Linked DNA regions of Canis lupus familiaris. The protein of the gene in region 1 purifies or fractionates together with the protein of each later gene. This does not show direct contact. Links are inferred from orthologs where the notes say so. Each region holds a gene or a part of one and is shown in the gene's direction. Other genes may lie near its edges.

Region 1 (9,964 bases):
CAGCCGCGGGAGCACTGCCGGGGGAGCCGCGGCCCCCGCCCCGCCCCTGGCCCTGGCCCTGGCCTTGCAGCCTCTGGCGGTTGGGCCACAGCGCCGGGGGGCGGGGGGAGGGCAGGGGAGGGCGCAGCTGCGGCGGGGGAGGGCTCCCGCTGCGGGGGGAGGGAGGGGAGGGCGCCCGCGGCCCACGCTCGGCCGCCCGGCCGGCCCCACCCTCTTCCCGACTGCGCACCCCCAGCGCCGCCCGTCTCCCGGCCCGCCGGCCGCCGCCCTCCCGGCAGGGGTGCGGGTCTGCGGCCCGAGAGCGGAATCCGAGCCGACAGCGGGCGGGCGGGGCCTCGCCGCGCGGGCCGAGGCGGGAGGGGGGGCGCGATCGTCCCAGGGCACTGCAGCCCCGCGGCCCCCACGCCTCGCCGCGGGAAGCAGCCTTGTCCCTGAAGCACCGCTCCTCCTCCCCAGTGTGGAGCACAGGTGTCCTTTCCCATAAAAGGAGTCACACTGATCCAAAGAAAAAAAGACGACGACGACCCGGCTGAGGCCCGGTAGCTCGTCTCCCTCCCTAACTCAAGGAGCCGCTTTCCTCTGACTTCTGGGCTTAGAAGAGGCCCCAGTAGGTAGCGAGGCGGGAAGGGGGCAAAACGGAACCGAGATCTCGCCACCCCAGGATTTCCTCCTTAAACTCTGATTGGTCAGGCCCTCCCTGTCCAGCAAGAATGTGCCCGCCCGCCGTCCCCCTGTGCGCCCCGGAGCTGTCCCCGGCCCACATCCCCACATCCCCGGCTGTCCACAGAACGACTCTGTGGGGCCCACACCGTGTGGGTACCCCCATCACACCTCGGCACCCCGAAACCCTGGAGGAGGGACTGCTCAGGGCATCCCAGCCCCTCCCCTCCAGCCCCTGGGCGTGCCAAGGTCCTGTCACACCTTGTTTCCTTTCCTCTGTGGGCGCCTCCAGCATCTCAGTAGGAAACCACCGGTGGCGGGTGCTCATCCCTCTCTCCCTTCCTCACCTCTAGGTCAGCTTTCCAGACGTGGAAAAGGCCGAGTGGCTAAATAAGGTGAGGGTTGGTTCTTTTATGTTTCATAAGCAGGGAACGGGGTTCATATCTCCAGCCAGACGCTGCACACCCCAGGGGTAGCCCCTGTGCTCTCTGTGGGGAGGATTCTAAGGAGCTTGTCTTTAGGGAGAAGATCAGGCTCTCCTGTGACAGGTTCCCTCTCCTTCCAGATTGTGGCCCAGGTCTGGCCCTTCCTGGGCCAGTACATGGAGAAGCTTCTGGCTGAAACTGTGGCCCCCGCTGTTCGAGGCTCTAACCCCCACCTGCAAACATTCACATTTACACGAGTGGAACTGGGTGAGAAGGTGTGTGTGGTAGGAAGGAAAGTAGCGGGAGGGAGGAGGCAGGACGGGGGGGCTGGCCAGCCGGAAAGGGGCTCAGCTACTCCTCCCTTTCCCTCTTCTCTCTCTTGAGAAGTCCTGTCTCCGCAGCCGCTGCGCATCGTAGGAGTCAAGGTTCATGCTGGCCAGAGCAAAGAGCAGATCCTGTTGGATTTGAGCATCAGGTAATCCCACTCACTGTCGCAGCTCCCCCTTCGCCATCCTGGTCACTGCCTGCCTCACCCCCTCCCCGCCTCAGCCTAGTACCAACTCTCTCTGTTCTCTTCCCGTCAACCCCCAGCTACGTAGGTGACGTGCAGATTGATGTGGAAGTGAAGAAATATTTCTGCAAAGCAGGAGTCAAAGGCATGCAGGTGGGCAAATGTCAGGGGCCCCCATAATAGGGAGCCTTGTTTTGCCCTAAATTTCGTCGGATATGGGGAAGTGGGAAATTGGAAAAACCAAGGCTGGGGCAGTTCGGGATGGAAAGAAGGCCTTTTGTGGAGAAAGGCTTTGCTCTTCTCTTCCCAGCTACATGGTGTCTTGCGGGTGATTCTCGAGCCACTCATCGGGGACCTTCCCATCGTGGGGGCTGTGTCGATGTTCTTCATCCGACGCCCGGTAGGGGAAGACACTGAGGGGCATGGGGAAGGGGAAAATAGAGGACTGGGAGGAACAGGGTGGCCAGCTCTGGGGCTTGGGGGAGGAGAGGCTGAGGGATCTGGCAACTGTTGGATGGGTGTGACCAGGCCACCGTGTGCCCTGTCCTGATTCCCCTTGCCCCTTCCTTCCAGACCCTAGATATCAACTGGACAGGGATGACCAACCTGCTGGATATCCCAGGACTCAGGTGTCAAGGATTTATGGAGCCCCTAAGTATTCCAGCCCTTGGTTGTCGGTTTTTGGGATACAAAACAGTAAGAGATGTAGCCAGCACCCTCTGGGAGTCTTGATCATCCTAGCTGGAGAGATGACAAACCCCCCTGTGATTTTCGTCCTGTCGGGGAGCACACATTTGGGTGGGGAGCAAAGAGGGTTGCAGGCTGCTCCGCTCCATAGGGGTAGAAGCAAAAGGCGAGCTGGGGTGGCAGCAAAGGTTCAGAGCAGTAGGTGGGGAGTGAGGGTAGGAGAGCAGCCAAAAAAGCTCTTCAAGAAAGGATGTTCCTCTAGCTTTACGGCTCTGTTGGTTGTGGGCAACAGAGCTGGGGGTGGGGGGCTTCTGGACGTTGGGGACACACACCTTCCTTTCTGTTCCCCCATCAGCTCCCTCTCTGACACCATGATCATGGATTCCATCGCTGCCTTCCTTGTGTTGCCCAACCGGTTACTGGTGCCACTAGTGCCTGACCTTCGTGATGCAGCCCAGCTGCGTTCCCCTCTTCCCAGGGTACGGCCTCTCCCCCATCAGATAGATCCTTCTCTCGGGGACCTTGTGCCCGCTCCTTCGGTTCTCATGATCGGATTGCTTTGCACAGGGCATTGTTCGGATTCACTTGCTGGCTGCCCGAGGTCTGGGCTCCAAAGACAAATACGTGAAGGGCCTGATTGAGGGCAAGTCAGACCCCTATGCACTCGTGCGAGTGGGCACCCAGGCATTCTGCAGTCGAGTTATCGATGAGGACCTCAATCCCCAGTGGGGGGAGACTTACGAGGTGGGAGACCTGAGGAGTGGGGCCGTGTCAAATAGGGAGGCCCTGGGAGGCTGTGTGGGAAGGTGCTGAGGGACCCTCACAATGTAGCCCCTGAGCCCCTTCTCCCGTGTGTCCTTCAGGTGATGGTACACGAGGTCCCAGGCCAGGAGATTGAGGTGGAGGTGTTTGACAAGGATCCAGACAAAGATGACTTTCTGGGCAGGTGAGCCTCGGCCTGTTAGGATTCTAAAGCCTCGGTGCTACCAGGGTCACAGAGGTAATCCTAATCCTTTTGCAGGCCTGGGAATTGTATATTACTTTCCTTCCCAACCTCCCCACCCTCGCCGCCATCACGCACACGCGTGTACACACGCACGCAAATATCTGCTGAACAGAAGAAGGGAGTCTGAGAATTGCCTTTTATTTCTAGGCGGGGGAGTGGAGGGCCAATGACACGCTACTAATGACAACACTCTCCTTTTCCTCTGCTCACTGCCACTCCTCCCCGCCCCCTCCAGGATGAAGCTGGATGTAGGGAAGGTACTACAGGCTGGAGTCCTGGATGACGTAAGTTGAGAGAAGAGGAAGGGGGGGGTAGTCTCACCCATTGGGCTGACAGTCATCGCTACGTTGGGGGAAGAGGTTGTGCGAATGTCTGATCCCTCACCCTTCACTTTCTGCTCTCCCTCCAGTGGTTTCCTCTACAAGGTGGGCTAGGCCAAGTCCACCTCAGGCTAGAATGGCTGTCGCTTTTGCCACATGCAGAAAAACTGGAGCAGGTAAGGGACATGGGAAGGTGGGAAGGTAACAGGGGGGAAAGAGGTGGCTGCGAGTGTAGGACTAGGGGCGAGGGTGTGACAACCACCCCCCACCCCCGCCCGCCCTCCAGGTTCTGCAGTGGAATCGCGGCATGTCCTCCCGACCAGAGCCCCCATCAGCTGCCATCCTAGTTGTCTATCTGGACCGGGCCCAAGATCTTCCCGTGAGTGTGGCTCCCGAGGGCGGCTGAACAGGAAGCTCTGGACGCAGCATCCCCACGTCCTCTCTTGTCCCTCCCCACGTGGCTTCAGAAGCAGCAGCATGGAATGCCAGGGGTCCCAGGAGGGGATCAGAGCCACCTCAGGGAAAAGATCCTGATGAGAGCCCACCTTCCTTCACTGGGACAAAACCAAAAACACCCAAGATGGTGACTTCTCAATTCTGCCCCCACAGCTGAAGAAGGGGAACAGGGAGCCCAACCCCGTGGTACAGCTGTCAATTCAGGATATGACCCAGGAGAGCAAGGTGAGGGCCGGGGTGTCATGGTGGGAGGTGTGTGCACGCACGTGCATGCACATCTGGCTGGGGAGGACTGTTCTTGGGATGAAGTTTCCCCTTTAGGCGGCCTGTGAAAGCAAAGTCTTTCTGAAGAAACAGGAATGGTGCCGCAGCGCATACCCTTCTCCCCTCCTGCACAGGCGGTCTACTGCACCAACTCCCCGGTGTGGGAGGAGGCTTTCCGGTTCTTCCTACAAGACCCTCGAAGCCAGGAGCTCGATGTGCAGGTGAGATAAAAACTCACTGAGCCCCTCCTGGGTGTTCCGTTTGCCTTCCCAGGTCGTACCATGTCCCTCTTTGATCATATTCCAGTCCATCTACCTAGACTCTCCCCATCTTCCCCAGTCATCTCTCTAGAATCGTATTTCCTTGTAAGATTTATTTTTTTATTTTAGAGGCTGCGTATATGTGTGTGTGTGTGTGTGTGTGTGTGTGTGTGTGAATGAGAGGAGGGGCAGAGGGAGAGAGAATCTCAGGCAGACTCCCTGCTGAGTGCAGAGCTCGACTCTAGGGCTTTACCTCAAGACCCTGAGATCACGCCCCGAGCCAAAACCGAGTTGGTGGCTCAATGGACTGAGCCACCAAGGTGTCCCTAGAATCATTCTTTATAGCGGTGCCTGGCTGGTTCAGTCAGAAGAGCATGTGACTCTTGATCTTGGGATGTGAGTTCGAGCCCTATGTTCGGAGCGGAGATTATGTAATCAACTTTTTTCTTAAGATTTCATTTATTTGAGGGCACCGGGTGGCTCAATCGGTTGGACCTCTCTGCCTTTGGCTTAGCTCATGATCTTCAAGTCCTGGGATCGAGCCCTGCATTGGGCTTCCTGCTCAGTGGGGAATCTGCTTCTCTTTCTCCTCTCTGCCCCTCCCCGCTGCTCATTCTCTCTCAACTAAATAAGATTAAAAAAAAAAAAAAAAAAGGTTTCAACATTTAAAACTGAGCATCCTTGGGGCACCTGCCTAACTCAGTCCATAAGCATGAGACCCTTGATCTTGTGTAGTGAGTTCAAGCCCACCTTGGGTATAGAGATTGCTTAAAAATAAAATCTTAAAATTAATTAATTAAAAACAAAATGAAACTGAGTGCCCTCTCTTCTTTCCACTGAAACAAAAAAGAAAATTTTAAAGTAGGAACAAGGGACGCCTGGGTTGCTCAGCAGTTTAGCGCCTGCCTTTGGCCTAGGGCATGATCCTGGGGTCCTGGGATCAAGTCCCGCGTCAGGCTCCCTGCATGGAGCCTGCTTCTCCCTCTGCCTGTGTCTCTGCCTCTCTCTGTGTGTGTGTCTCTCGTGAATGAATAAATAAAATCCTTTAAAAATAATAATAATAATTTTAAAAATATAAATAAATAAATAAATAAATAAATAAATAAATAAATAAATAAATAAATAAATGTAGGAACAAATTCTAATAGAGAATGTCGATCCCAAATAAGATCCTACAGGGATCCCTGGGTGGCGCAGTGGTTTGGCGCCTGCCTTTGGCCCAGGGCGTGATTCTGGAGACCCGGGATCGAGTCCCGCGTCGGGCTCCCGTGCATGGAGCCTGCTTCTCCCTCTGCCTGTGTCTCTGCCTCTCTCTCTGTGTGTGACTATCATAAATAAATTAAAAAAAAAAAAAAAAAAAAGATCCTACAGGTTCTGCTGATTCTCCCATCAAGTGGCAGGGCTCAAGTTGTGATCAGGAGAGAATTTTATTTTAGAAGTGTCATCTTAAACTGCAAGGATGTCTTTTTTTTTTTTTTTTTTAAGATTTTATTTATTCATTCATGAGAGACACACAGAGAGAGAGAGAGACATGGGACTCGATCCCGGGACCCCGGGATCACGCCCTGGGCCAAAGGCAGGCACCAAGCCGCTAAGCCACCCAGGGATCCCCAAAGATGTCTTTTAATCATCACAATTAGGGCAGCCCCGGTGGTGCAGCTGTTTAGCGCCGCCTGCAGCCAGGGGTGTGATCCTGGAGACCCGGGATCGAGTCCCACGTCAGGCTTCCTATATGGAGCCTGCTTCTCCCTCTGCCTGTATGTATGTATGTATGTATGTATGTATGTATGTATAAATAAATAAATAAATAAATAAATCTTTAAAAAAAAAGTAAATAAACATCACAATTAAACATGCCAGAGGAGAAGCCCTGCAGACACCTAGAAGCTTAAAGGTCACAGAAAAAGCATGGAATAGTATCCGCCTTCATGAAGCTTACTGGCTAGTTTCATAGACTGGACACATGTATAAAGCCATCTAAAGATGATGAACTAACTAATGGGAATAAAATGTCCATAGGGTAGTGCTAAGGCTCGCCAAAGAAAAATACGGAGGCCAGGGGATCCCTGGGTGGCTTAGTGGTTTGGTGCCTGACTTTGGCTCAGGGTGTGATCCTGGAGACCCGGAATCGAGTCCCGTATTGGGCTCCCTGCGTGGAGCCTGCTTCTCCCTCTGCCTGTGTCTCTGCCTCTCTCTCTCTCTCTCTCTCTCTCTCTGTCTCTCATGAATAAATAAAATCTTTAAAAAAAAAAAAAAAAAGTACGGAGGCCGAAAAAAAAAAAAGCTGCAGAGGCTTGAGTAACTAGAGATTTTGTGAAGGATGGGCTTTAAAAGATAAATAAGATTTAAGTAGAGGGGAATTTTATTTTATTTTTTATTTTTTTTAAAGATTTATTTATTTATGATAGAGAGAGAGAGAGGCAGAGACACAGGCGGAGGGAGAAGCAGGCTCCATGCAGGGAGCCCAATGCGGGACTCGATTTTGGGACTCCAGGATCGCACCCTGGGCCAAAGGCAGGTGCCAAACTGCTGAGCCACCCAGGGATCCCCAGAGAGGGGAATTTTAAAAAATAATAAAAATTTAGGGCAGCCCGGATGGCCCAGCGGTTTAGCGCCACCTTCAGCCCAGGTCCTGATCCTGGGGACCTGGGATTGAGTCCCATGTCGGGCTCTCTGCATGGAGCCTGCTTCTCCCTTTGCCTATGTCTCTGCGCCTCCCCTCCCCCGGCCCCGTCTCATGAATAAATAAAATCTTAAAAAAATAATAATATAAAAAGAATTTAAAAATTAAAAAAATAGTCTGAGGGGAGGAGAATGAGAACTTAATGGGAACAGGATAAGCAAAGGCAGAAAGGACCACGGAATAGGCATAAGAAAACCTGGCTGGAGTGGAGCAAAAGTTGTGTGGTTGGTGGAGCAAAAGTGAAACTGGAGCCATGTTACGATTTCCCCAGTATTTCTCCTTTTCCCTACTTTTTTTTTTTTTTTAAGATTTTGAGAGAGAGAATGAGGAGGGGGAGGGACAGAGAGCGAAGCAGACTCCCTACCAAGTAGGGAGCCCAATGGCTGGGATCCGAGGATTCCACCTGAAGGCAGATGCTTAACTGAGCCACCTGGGCGCCCCTCCTTTTTCCTTTGCTCTTCCCTACATCCCCTCTTCCTGGGCTCTAGGTGAAGGATGACTCCAGGGCCCTGACTTTAGGGGCACTGACTGTGCCTCTGGCTCGCCTGCTGACTGCCCCTGAACTCACCTTGGACCAGTGGTTCCAGCTCAGCAGCTCTGGCCCCAACTCCAGGCTCTACATGAAATTGGTTATGAGGGTATGGAGACGGAGCACGCACTGAGGGTTGGAGGGGCCTCGTGGATTCCTTGCTATTAAGACTAAAGAGGAGGAAATCCTCTAAGATCCAATGAGCTAGTATATGTGGAAGCACCCAGCAGCCACACAAAAAATGTTTGTTGCCCAAACCGGGGAAGAAGTGGTGTATGAGTAGGATGAGTGTCGGGGGAACCCTCTAGAGATTAGCCCAGCCAAGGCAGGGACCTGTTTTCCCCATCAGAGCCTCTGCGCCGCCTCCAACCCCCACGGACCTTGCTTGCGGGTGTCTAGCTGCACTTCTCTGATTGCACAATTACACCACCCTTCCCAGATCTTGTACTTGGATTCATCAGGAGTGCACTTTCCCACTGTGCCTGGAAGTCCTGGTGCTTGGGACCCAGACAGTGAGAACCCCCAGACAGGCAGCAGCGTGGATGCCCCGCCTCGGCCTTATCGCACTACTCCTGATAGTCACTTTGGGACTGAGGTGAGTCTATCTGGAAAGCACTGGCGAGGGTCTAAGTGTTGCAAAGCCTGTTCCAGGGCTGGTTTTGGCAGGTTTCTCTCTGACTGCCATCTGGTGCCCCTATCTGTCCCTTTTGCAGAATGTGCTTCGGATCCATGTATTAGAGGCCCAGGACCTGATTGCCAAAGACCGTTTCTTGGGGGGATTGGTGAAAGGCAAGTCAGACCCCTATGTCAAACTAAAGCTGGCAGGACAAAGCTTCCGGAGCCGTGTTGTTCGGGAAGATCTCAATCCCCGCTGGAACGAGGTGTTTGAGGTCAGAATTGAATGGCTAGGACTCCTCGGAGTCCTTCCTCCTTCTTTCCTCTAGCTCTGAGAATGGTCCAAAAGCCCTCTGGGGTTCAGGTGATTGAGGGGGGACATTCCCAGTTATTTGAAGAAGAAAAAAAAAATCTGCCTCTGCTATTTTATCCTGCTAGGTAATTGTCACATCAATTCCAGGCCAAGAGCTAGACCTTGAGGTTTTTGACAAGGACCTGGACAAGGATGACTTTCTGGGCAGGTGAGAGGACAGAAGTCCAGAGGGGAAGGCTGGTTGGGCGTCGGGAGGCCACAGAAGTCTGGCTCTGGGGAGGCAGAGACTCAGCTCCGACCGCGGGCCTCAGGTTTTGGTTTTTCTCCTCTCCAGGTGTAAAGTGGGTCTCACCGCGGTCCTGAACACCGGCTTCCTTGACGAGGTGAGCAAGGACTTAGAACCCGCGGCTCGTCCTCCTAGCCCCTCTGTCCCCACACCCCCAAGTCTAAGCCTGCCCACACCCACGCCCACAGTGGCTGACCCTGGAAGATGTGCCATCTGGCCGCCTGCACCTGCGTCTGGAGCGTCTGACCCCCCGGGCCTCTGCTGCTGAGCTAGAGGAGGTAGGTGGGGGGCTCCAGAGGGATCACGGAGGACCCTTGCCTGCTCGAGGGCATGTGCGCCCCGCGTGTCCTCCAGCCCCCCAAGGCCGCGTGTCCTCCCGCAGGTGCTGCAGGTGAACAGTCTGATCCAGACGCAGAAGAGCGCCGAGCTGGCCGCGGCCCTGCTGACTGTGTATGTGGAGCGTGCGGAGGACCTGCCGGTGAGCCCCGCCGCCCCCTCCTGGCCTCCCCAGCCGCCTCAGGCTCTGATGCTGCGATGCTGCGGGTGTATTTGGAATAGTGAATTCCGGGTTCCCCTTCCCAGGGCCGTGGTGGTGCTGGGGCGGGAAGAAGTGGCCTTTCACGGCCACGAGGGTGGCGGTGGCAGTGACACTGGGCCCTGCCTGCTGGCGGGGGAGCAGGGAGCTGCCGACCCAGGTCTAAATTCCAGAGCCTATTTTTTTTTTTAAAGATTTTATTTATTTATTCATGAGAGTCAGAGAGAGAGAGAGAGAGAGAGAGAGAGGGGCAGAGACACAGGCAGAGGGACAAGCAGGCTCCATGCAGGGAGCCCAACATGGGACTGAATCCCAGGTCTCCAGGATCACGCCCTGAGCCAAAGGCAGGTGCCAAACCGCTGAGCCACCCAGGGATCCCCTAGAGCCTATTTAATAAGCGACACAACATTCTGT
Region 2 (10,462 bases), on another chromosome or scaffold:
AGAGAGAGAGAGAGAGAGGCAGAGACACAGGCAGAGGGGAAAGCAGGCTCCGTGCAGGAAGCCCGATGTGGGACTCAATCCCAGGACTCCAGGATTATGCCCTGAACTGAGCAGACGCTTAACCACTGAGCCACCCAGGAATCCCTCAAGTATCTTTTTCGAAGAGACAGAGAGGCATGCTGTTAATAACAATAATGAAGCAGCTGGCAGGTCTTGAGTTTTTAGTGTTACCATCATGTTGAGGGCCTGATATCCAACTTTACAACACTCTATGAGTTATTGACTATTTTTCTTTTCTTTTGTTTTTAGAGAGAGAAGGGCAGGGGAGGGACAGAGGGAGAGGGAGAGATAATCTTTAGCTGGGTGTGGAGCCTGATGCAGGGCTCAATCTCATGACCCCAAGATCATAATCTGAGCTGAAATCAAGAGTTGGATGCTTAACTGACTGAGCCATCCAGCTACTCTATTTTCTTTTTATAAACTATGACACCAAGTCAATAACTCATTTTATACACGGAGTGAAGTAGGGTATATTTATTTATTTATTTATTTATTTATTTATTTATTTATTTTTAATGAGAGAGAGAGAGAGAGAGAGGCAGAGACATAGGCAGAGGGAGAAGCAGGCTCCATGCACCGGGAGCCCGATGTGGGATTCGATCCCGGGTCTCCAGGATCGCGCCCTGGGCCAAAGACAGGCGCCAAACCACTGCGCCACCCAGGGACCCCGGGTATAGATATTTAAATGACACCCAGCTGGGCACCTGGGTGGCACAATTGGTTAAGCGTCTGACTCTTGATTTCGGCTCAGGTCATAATCTCAGGGTCTTGGGAGCCAGTGCCATGTGGGGCTCCCCACTCAGTGGGAAGTCTGCTTGAAGATTCTTTCCCCCTCGTCCTCTGCCCCAACCCTCCAAAATAAATAAATAAATCTTTAAAAAAAATAATGCCCAAGGATGCCAGTAGTCCAGTCTGTCCCTTCTGAGGGTCCTGTTGCTTAAACATGGATCCTACGAGCAGGCAGTAGGAGAAAAGGCTGAACTGAGGCCCAGCACAGTCTCTGTGAGTGATAATTATTTACTTGGCTGTTTACCCCACAAGACTGTGAGTCTCTGGAGGACAGGAATGTGTCTTACGCATATGTAAGCAATACTGCCGAGCACTATGCCTGACACATAACAATTTTGGAAAGCTATTTTTGGAAAGCTTTGGAACCTGAGTCACAGTGGATGTCACTGCAGAAAACAATTTTGTTATTTCTGTGCTTCATAAAATACTTGATTACCTTGAATATTTATGATTTTGTTTTGGCTTTCCAGAATGAATATAATTACCAATTTTTGAGCACTACCCATGCATCAGTCATAATTACCAAATGCTTATATCTCATTTAACTCACAACAACTCAAAAGCATTTAGCAGTAGATAATGAAAGAAGTTCAAAGAGATTAACTAACTCACCCAAGTTTGCACAGCTAGTAAGCATCAGAGCCAGAATTCAAAGCCAAGTCAGTCTGACTCCAAGCCCTGTGGTCTTAACCATTGAACATGTCTACATATCACTCGCTTCGGGAAAACCACGAGGAAAGCTCAGTATCTGGTCTTATCACATGACTCAATTCAGAATGAGATGGCTGAAGGCAGGCTGTGATCAGTATTATCAATATTTAGCATTTTTAAAAAAGATTTTTATTTATTTATTCACGAGAGAGAGACACAGGAGAGAGAGAGGCAGAGACACAGGCAGAGGGAGAAGCAGACTCCATGCAGGGAGCCCGACACAGGACTCGATCCTGGGACCCCAGGATCAGGCCCTGGGCTGAAGGTGATGCTAAACCGCTGAGCCACCCGGGCCGTCCATATTAAGCATTTTGAATGTCCACTGTTTTGATGACCCTGGCTATTTGAGAAGGAAACAACACTAACAACAAAACATATTTCTCGTTTATAGGAGTTGCTATCTAAGCTGTGACTAATCCTAAAGTCTGCCTTTAATTTGTACTGTGTTTTTTTTTTTTTTTTTTTTTGTACTGTGTTGTTCTAAATGCCAAACACTTCTACAAGGTATGGAAGGCTGATGTGCTGAAAATTATATCGAGACAGATGTAATGTCAATGTTTCCCGTCACTTCCTGACAGGAAGCCCTATTGGGAGCCCTTAAAATAGAACAGGGTATTTTGTCCAAAAGCAAAAGTTAGGGCAGCCTGGGTGGCTCAGCGGTTTAGTGCCGCCTTCAGCCCAGGGCCTGATCCTGGAGACCCAGGATCGAGTCCCATGTGGGCTCCCTGCATGGAGCCTGCTCTCCCTCTGCCTGTGTCTCTGCCTCTCTCTCTCTCTCTGTGTGTCTCTCATTAATAAATAAAAAAAATAAAATCTTAAAAAAAAAGCAAAAGTTAGGGACTTAATATTAAGGGAGCAAGAAAGTGAACGAGCAGTGCTAGGTGTCACATACCCCTTCTTTACTCGTCCATTCAGTACATATTAAGAATTTCTACTATTGGGCAGCCCGGGTGGCTCAGCGGTTTAGCGCCACCTTCAGCCCAGGGCGTGATCCTGGGGACCCAGAATCAAGTCCCACATCAGGTTCCCTGCATGGAGCCTGCTTCTCCCTCTGCCTGTGTCTCTGCCTCTCTCTTTCTCTGTCTCTCTCGTGAATAAATAAATAAATAAATAAAATCTTTAAAAAAATAAAAAAAAAGAATTTCTACTATCTGCCTGGCATTATATGAAGCACCGTGTATTTATATAGCAATGAACAAAAACAGACAAAAATTCCTATTCTAGTGGGAAGAGAAACCAAAAGATTATGTTTTACTTAAAACATAAGTTGGATGGTAAGAAGTCTAATCAAATTGGATGGGGAAGGGACTAGAGAATTCTGGGATGTGTGTGCAGTTTTAAATTCCTGTACAGTGTGTTGCAATTGTGACAAGTCATTGGCCTTTGGCCCCTCTCTCTTTCCGAGCATGCCACAAAATGGCCTGGACTTGTGTCACATCTTGTAGGTCCTGCCTTCTGCACACCTAGTGTGAAACTCCAGGCAGCACTTGCCCTGATGTTCATGTCTAGTTTCCTGCTGGCCAGAGTGGACTAGATCTAATCTCGACTCTTAAATCTAAAGGCTAGAGGAGGGTATTCAAGTAATCTTGAGAGTTTGGGGAGAAAGGAAGGCAGGGGGAAAGAAATCAAAATAGGATCTCTTTAGATAAGATAAGGCAGAATTATCTCTCTTCACCTCTGTCCCAATCGCTCCAGAAGTAAGAAAAACAAACTAACAAAAACCGCTCAAAGGCTTGGCAGGGCCTGGAGGTAGCTGGAAGGAGGTTCTGAGTAGATTGTCATAGTTAAGGCAGAGGCAGAAGTGGGGCGCCTCGCTGGCTCAGAGGAGCATGCAAGCTCTTGATCTCCCGGTGGTGAATTCGATCCCCACGTTGGGGGCAAAGTTTATTTAAAAAGAAACAAACCAAAAATAAATAAACAAACAAACAAATAAAGTAAAAAAAATAAAAAAAAAATAAAAAGAAACAAACCAAACTTAAAAAAAAACAGGCAGAAGAAAGTATAATAATTTATGTAATGAATGAGGGAATGGTGACGCCAAGAAATGGTGGTGATGGTGGGATGGATGCCCCCAACTACCTACCTCGGATAACCGCTCCTACCTCAACAAATCCAAGATAACAAAGTTCTTCACAACTGACATTTTCTTAGTCGCATGTGAAATGTGAATAAAAGCATTTTCAGAGAACCTCGTTTTGTATTGCCCTAACACAGTTTAGATAGGGTGTACCTGCAAAAGTAGCTTCAGAACAAGCCCTTTTTTTTTTTTTTTAAGATTTTATTTATTTATTTATTCATGAGAGACAGAGAGAGAGAGAGAGAGGCAGAGACCCAGGCAGAGGGAGAAGCAGGTTCCATGCAGGGAGCCCGATGTGGGACTCGATCCTGGGTCTCCAGGATCAGGCCCTGGGCCGAAGGCGGTGCTAAACCGCTGCACCACCTGGGCTGCCCAGAACAAGCCCTTTTTAAGAAACACGGCCATCGCTTAGGCTGGACAAAGCCTAGGGAAGGAGTTTCACTGGAAGGTCTTAGCTATCAGAGTGGTGGTGATGGTCCACCACCAGGCTTGGCCAGGCTCGCGATTATGGGGCGAAACTGGCGGTGGTGGTAATGAAGTCACGTCCTCCTCTCCTTGTGAAGTCAAAATCGTTAAAAACCAGAGCGCTCACGTCATCCAGGCTTGAGGCCTCCCTTTGGTCCTTCGGTCCCTGAACAACGCAGCGGGTAGGGGTTACCAACTGGTTAGTTATCCCAAGTCCTCCGCCCCGGGGCGGGTCTCCGCAATAGGATCCCGCCTGGGCTCGCCGGCCCGCCCCGCCCCCTCCCCTCCCCTCCCCGCATGGCCTGCTGGGAGTTGTAGTTCAGTCGTCGAAGAGCCGCGCCAAGCCCCTTCCCTTCTTCCGCTTCCTCCCTGCCCCGGATGAGTGCGCAGAACAGGGACAGCCCGCGGGGGCAGCCACAGAGCGTGGGACTACAATTCCCAGTGGCCTGCCGCCGCGGGCGTGCAGTCCCAGGTAGCCGGCGACGCGCTTGCTCGCACGAGCACGCGCGTCGGGCGGCGGCAGGACTCGGCCGCGTGCTCCTTTCCGCTCCGGTCCGCCCCGCCCTCGCCGCGCCCAGCGCTGTCCGTCGCGCCTCGCACGCCCGCCCCGTGGTCGTTCCCTCGAAGCTCTCCGCGCCCCTCCTTCACCCCAGTCTCTTTTAGAGGCCAGGCCCCGCCCGTTTCCCGCCTCCTGGGCCCGGTTCGTTCCCGATTCAGCCCGCCCCTCCCTGCGCCCCCGCGGCCTCTGCTGCAGGCGGAGGCTCCATGTTGTCCCCTCCGCGAGTGGTAGCGGCTGCCTCGGGAGGAGCAGGTGAGGCGCCCGGTTTTCCCCGCCGCCCTCCCGACCAGAGCCCCGAGGAGACCGCCCGCCGCTCGTTCGTCGTCCCGGGGTCGGGACCCTGCGCCCCTCGGCGGGTACCCTGGGCCCGCGAATTCAGGGCCGGTGCTGCTAGCGAGGCCCGGCCGGCGGGGCGCGGGCGGTGCCTCCCTGGGCTCCCGGTGGGAGCGGCCGCCCTCGGGTCGGGGTCGGGGCCGGGGCCGGGGCCGGGGCCGGGGCTGGAGGGCCGGGGCGGGCGGGCGGCGTCGGCAGCTGCGGCCCTGCAGGCCCCGCCCGGGTCGAGGGCGCGCTCCGGGGCTGCGGCCCCCTCCCCGCCTGGCACCTCGCGGGCTCGCGGGCCGGGCCGGGCGGCGGGAAGGTGGATGCTTTTACGTCCAGCCTTTGGCGAAGTGCTGGAGCGTCTCGGTGTTGGAAGCTTTATTTTCATCCTGACGACCTCGAGGCGCTGACGACAATTAGGAAAGTTGATTTTTAAGCCCACGCTAATTTCCATAGGCGAGTTAGAATGTGGCCTAAATTGCTTTTTAAGAAGTTCTTTTAGTACGTTTGGCACCGTCCGTTGTTCCGTTGCTTTCCCGAGGACATGCAAAGACAGCAAGATAATTCAAAAGTAAGAGAGTCCTCAAAAATGGAAGGATACTTCATGTCATAAGTATTTTAACCTGGCTTTATTCTGGCTTAGCGTGTATGCTGTTGACATCGCCAAAAGTTCCACTTGCCAAATTCAAAGGCAGAAAAAGAAAACATGAAATCCCAGCCCTCAAAGAATTTGTGTACGAAGTTGGGTGGACCGTTTTGTGAAAGGGAGAAAAAAAAAACCGCGATCTCATGTTTTGTCTTCTTTTGCAGAAGTTTCTGAAAAGCGACGTGGTTTTAATCCGTGTCAAGTGTTCATCATTGCAGTGAACCGAAATTCCAATTAGGGCTTCCCCCCCACCCCCCCACTTTGCATAGAAACTAGCTTGTAGGGGATCCCTGGGTGGCTCAGCGGTTTGGCGCCTGCCTTTGGCCCAGGGCGTGATCCTGGAGACCCGGGATCGAGTCCCACGTCGGGCTCCCTGCAGGGAGCCTGCTTCTCCCTCCTCCTGTGTCTCTGCCTCTCTCTCTCTCTCATAAATAAATAAAAATAAATCTTAAAAAAAAAAAGAAAAGAAACTAGCTTGTAGTTTACAAGTCCCTGTTTCTGCTTTGCCACCTGTAAAGGAAAGGCTTAGATGAAAAGGATTTCTATGCTGTGTAGTGAAGAATGAACACTACTATTAACAGCACATTGTTTTATTAACTACCCCTTACTGTCTATTGGAGTGATCGTGAAATTAAGAAAAATGACAACAGAGGATAAACATGTATATTATCTGCGGTGGAGCACATGTGTTTTTCATTTCTATGCCTTCTGAACCTTAGGATAAAGGGTACGTGCTCTCTTTAAAATGAGATAATAGAGGATTGTAAGAAGCAAGAAATTAACAGAAAGTTGTCTTCCTCCCCTAAGCCCCAGTGGTAGGTCATTTAACAGTTTGGTTACATATTAAGATTCCTATGAAATAGGGAACCCCAGGTTGTGTGAACTTGTTTGAGAATGGTGTAAGAATTTACCTATAATGACTAGGCATGCCTGTTAAAGCTTCTATTGGCTTGTGAGCTGAGAAATTCTTCAAATAACATAGCTGCATTTTAAAGCTAATTTGAATTTTAAAACATTTTCCCAAGTTCTCTTTGAGGTTTTAGGAGTATATTCTCTAAAAAACATCGAGGGGGAAAGTGAGGATAAAGCTTTTATCTAAAAGAAAAAAAAGCCTTTAGTTGCTGTAGGTCTGTGAATCTCAGGTCTGCTGCATGATTAAAATAACCTGTGATATTTAAAACCTGACAATGCATGGAACCCACAGATTCTGATTTACTTCCTTCAGTGGCGGAGCAACAGTTAAAAAAAGAACCCTGAGTAATTCTAATTTGTATGGTAATGTAAAATTCTCCTATAGGTGGTTGCTTACATTTGAATTGATTTGTTACTTTTTTTTTTTTTTTTTCTTTTTTTTTTTAATTTTTATTTATTTATGATAGTCACAGAGAGAGAAAGAGAGAGAGGCCGAGACATAGGCAGAGGGAGAAGCAGGCTCCATGCACCGGAAGCCCGATGTGGGATTCGATCCCGGGTCTCCAGGATCGCGCCCTGGGCCAAAGGCAGGCGCCAAACCGCTGCGCCACCCAGGGATCCCGATTTGTTACTTTATAGGAAGTATAATTTATAATATCAGTGTTTGTTACTAGAAGTTGATGCTTTTTGCAAATTGGTAAAAAATGTTTTTTATTAGCATATATTTAGATAGAACTTATTGATATATTTCACAGCTAAAATATATTACCAGTTAGGAAATAGACTATACTGGTATAGTCAGTGAAAAAACAAGGTAGATTAACTTTTAATGTCTTGCAATGATAAGGAATCCAAGTCAAATATTGCAAATTAAAGCCTTATTCATCTGGAACACAAAACCTTCCGGTAACCAAATTGATTTTGGCGATTTTTTTATTTTTATGGAAGAGTCAAATAAGATGAATATTGAACTCACTCTATTAAAAAAAAGTTTTTTTTTTTTTCTATAGCATAGCCTGGCATCATTTTTAGATTCAGCCTGGTCTTTGCATTTCTGAATCTTAGGTACTGTTTAGTCATAATTGACCTTATAAATACATAAAGCACTACAAAATTGACGAAATGTGGTTTTGTTCAGCATTCTGTGCTAAAGTAGGAACATGTTATGCCAGATGAATTGAGAAAAGGTTTTCTCTTAAACTCTTTAATTGATTAGAATGTAAATTTCCCCCAATATTCTCTTTTGTTGGTTATAAGTATTTTTATTGAAACAGCCAAAGAAATGTACGTGTATCTACTAGCATACTTACTGCCTTAAGACAAAAGAGAGCATATAAAAGCATTCTCCCACCTTGAGACAAATGGAACCACTTCCAGCAGTTTGAGTTGGCTGAGAGCTTACCCTCATATATGATGTGTTTTTTCTGGCCTTGCCTGAATTAGGAACTTTAAAGACTGCCAGTGAGAACAAGGCCTGAAATGGTATGCTTCTGTTTTTGGGTGTGTTGCTCTTGTCCTTTAGTAAATGGGTTTCAAAAGGAGAGTGGAAAACTCAGGTCATAACTTTACCCTGAGTCATACACTCTACTTGGTGAAATGTTTCTGAAACTGTAGTTAATTTGCTTTGCTTTGTGGAGCTCTCTGAATAGTACAGATGAACACCAAGGCTGGCTCTACCATAGTGGTTCTTTTTTTGTTTTTTGTTTTTTTTGTTTTTTTTTTTTTTTGATCCCGGGACTCTAGGACGGCGCCCTGAGCTGAAGGCAGATTCTCAACCACTAAACCACTCAGGCATCCCACCACAGTGATTCTTTACCCAGGGTGATTTTGCTGTGTTGGGACATTTAGCAACATCTGCAGACATTTTGGGGTCTTATAAGCAGGAGGTAGCACTACTGGTATCTAGCGGGTAGAGGCCAGAGTTGGCTGCTAAATATCCTACAATGAATAGGATAGTTCCCCACAACTGAGCTATCCAGTATAAAATACTGGTAGTGCCAAGGTTGGGAAACCCTGGTCTATACTGTTGAATTGATCAACTAAATTCTGTATGAATTTTCTGAAGTAGCAGTTGTACCTGCTTCCAGTTAACTAGTTTCATTGAATTTATCACTGTTCAGGTGGGCTTTTCAAATATTTGAGGGGAATTTAAACTTTTTCCCTCTATAATGTTTTCTTTTTTTTTTTTTAATTTTTTAAAATTTATTTATGATAGTCACACAGAGAGCGAGAGAGAGGCAGAGACATAGGCAGAGGGAGAAGCAGGCTCCATGCACCGGGAGCCCGATGTGGGATTCGATCCCGGGTCTCCAGAATCGCGCCCTGGGCCAAAGGCAGGCGCCAAACCACTGCGCCACCCAGGGATCCCCTATTTTCTGATAGAATTTATTTCTTAGAATTTGTATTTTTTTTTCCTTTTTCTTTATTTATGAGAAACAGAGAGAGAGAGAGAGGCAGAGACACAGGCAGAGGGAGAAGCAGGCTCCATGCAGGGAGCCTGATGTGGGACTTGATCCCTAGTCTCCAGGATCAGGCCCTGGGCTGAAGGTGGCGCTAAACCGCTGAGCCACCTGGGCTGCCCGAATTTATATTTTCCATAGAACTGAAAAGGCCAATTGGATCAGTAGTCTCACCTACTTTTATTTAGTCTATGCAGCTACTTTTTTTTTTCTTTTTTAAGATTTATTTATTTATTAGAGAGAGGGGAGAGGGGGGTGAGCCCACAAGTGGGAGGGGCAGAAAGGGAGAGAGAATCCAAAGCAGACCATGTACTGAGTGTGGAGCCCATTGTGGGGCTCCCATCTTCCAACCTCCAGGTCACAACCTGAGCTGAAACCAAGAGTCAGATAGATGGTCAACCGATTGTGTCACCCAAGACACCCTTGCAGCTACTTTAAAAAAAAAAATCTCTTAAAAATTCAGTGTTAGGTCATTCTAGAAGAGCTAATATTGTAATTTGGTCAGATCACTACAAAGTCTTCCCTGTGATAATTAGTTTCACCTGTTAGTCTTTCACCTTATTTCTACTTGGATTGTCTGTGTCATTTTAGTGCAGAGCCAGTCTGTTGAATGCAATTATTACAGAAATTATTTGAATAGGTATACTTAAACCTATTGGCTAGTCTGGATTGTGTTTTTACCAAAAGTAAAGGGTAAATCAGTACTTTAAAAGGTAATTAGAGAAAAGGTCGTCGCTTCCACATAAACTGTTGAAAGGCTTTTTAATTATCCAAATATTTTCAGCATTTCCTGTAGAGGAAACTGAGCCACAGAGAAGTAAAATGATTTACTTATGTGGTCACAATCATTGTAAAGCTGGGCCCTGAGGGTTAGGAAAGGCCTTTCTCTTGTACATTCTGCTTCACTTGAGAGTAACAATCTTTGCCAAAAGGAATTTAACTCCTAAAAGGAAGTAAGGGGCTTGTGGATGGTGCAGTCAGTTAAGCAAGTCTTGGTTTCTTTAAAGATTTTATTTATTTATTCATGAGGGAAAGGGAGAGAGAGAGAGAGAGAGAGAGAGAGAGAGAGAGAGAGAGAGAGAGAGGCAGAGACACAGGCAGAGGGAGAAGCAGGCTTCATGCAGGGAGCTCGACATGGGACTTGATCCCAGGTCTCTAGGATCACGCCCTGGGCTGAAGGCGGTGCCCGCAACTGTTGGTTTCAACTCAGGTCATGGTCTCAGGGTCATGGGATTGAGGCCTGAGTCGGGCTCCAAGCTCAGTACAAAATCTGTTTAAGATTCTCTCTCTCTCTCTCTCTCTCTCTCTCTCTCTCTCTCTCTCTCTCTCTCTCTCTCTCTCGGCAGCCCTGGTGGCGCAGCGGTTTAGCGCCGCCTGCAGCCCGGGGCCTGATCCTGGAGACACGGAATCGAATCCCACGTCGGGCTCCCTGTGTGGAGCCTGCTTCTCCCCCTGCCTGTGTCTCT

What was found. The genes of interacting proteins can lie anywhere in the genome.
Region 2: the proteins of ESYT1 (region 1) and ATL3 purify together in Homo sapiens (affinity purification with mass spectrometry; 3 studies listed by BioGRID and IntAct, with this or other methods). This does not show direct contact. The link is inferred for Canis lupus familiaris from reciprocal best matches to the Homo sapiens genes ESYT1 and ATL3.

Annotation. Positions count from the first base shown.
Region 1 is NC_049231.1:801,150-811,113, forward strand, and holds part of ESYT1 (extended synaptotagmin-1), read left to right. Parts: intron 1-1,013; coding exon 1,014-1,055; intron 1,056-1,225; coding exon 1,226-1,360; intron 1,361-1,486; coding exon 1,487-1,560; intron 1,561-1,676; coding exon 1,677-1,749; intron 1,750-1,906; coding exon 1,907-1,996; intron 1,997-2,169; coding exon 2,170-2,225; intron 2,226-2,638; coding exon 2,639-2,762; intron 2,763-2,850; coding exon 2,851-3,027; intron 3,028-3,146; coding exon 3,147-3,229; intron 3,230-3,524; coding exon 3,525-3,573; intron 3,574-3,698; coding exon 3,699-3,785; intron 3,786-3,895; coding exon 3,896-3,988; intron 3,989-4,218; coding exon 4,219-4,290; intron 4,291-4,463; coding exon 4,464-4,550; intron 4,551-7,760; coding exon 7,761-7,910; intron 7,911-8,240; coding exon 8,241-8,396; intron 8,397-8,514; coding exon 8,515-8,691; intron 8,692-8,854; coding exon 8,855-8,937; intron 8,938-9,063; coding exon 9,064-9,112; intron 9,113-9,203; coding exon 9,204-9,293; and 3 more. UniProt on the Homo sapiens protein: Binds calcium (via the C2 domains) and translocates to sites of contact between the endoplasmic reticulum and the cell membrane in response to increased cytosolic calcium levels.
Region 2 is NC_049239.1:53,810,702-53,821,163, forward strand, and holds the start of ATL3 (atlastin-3), read left to right. Parts: upstream 1-4,697; 5' UTR 4,698-4,867; coding exon 4,868-4,913; intron 4,914-5,293; exon of another isoform or gene 5,294-5,399; intron 5,400-5,408; exon of another isoform or gene 5,409-5,550; intron 5,551-10,462. UniProt on the Homo sapiens protein: Atlastin-3 (ATL3) is a membrane-anchored GTPase that mediates the GTP-dependent fusion of endoplasmic reticulum (ER) membranes, maintaining the continuous ER network. It facilitates the formation of three-way junctions where ER tubules intersect.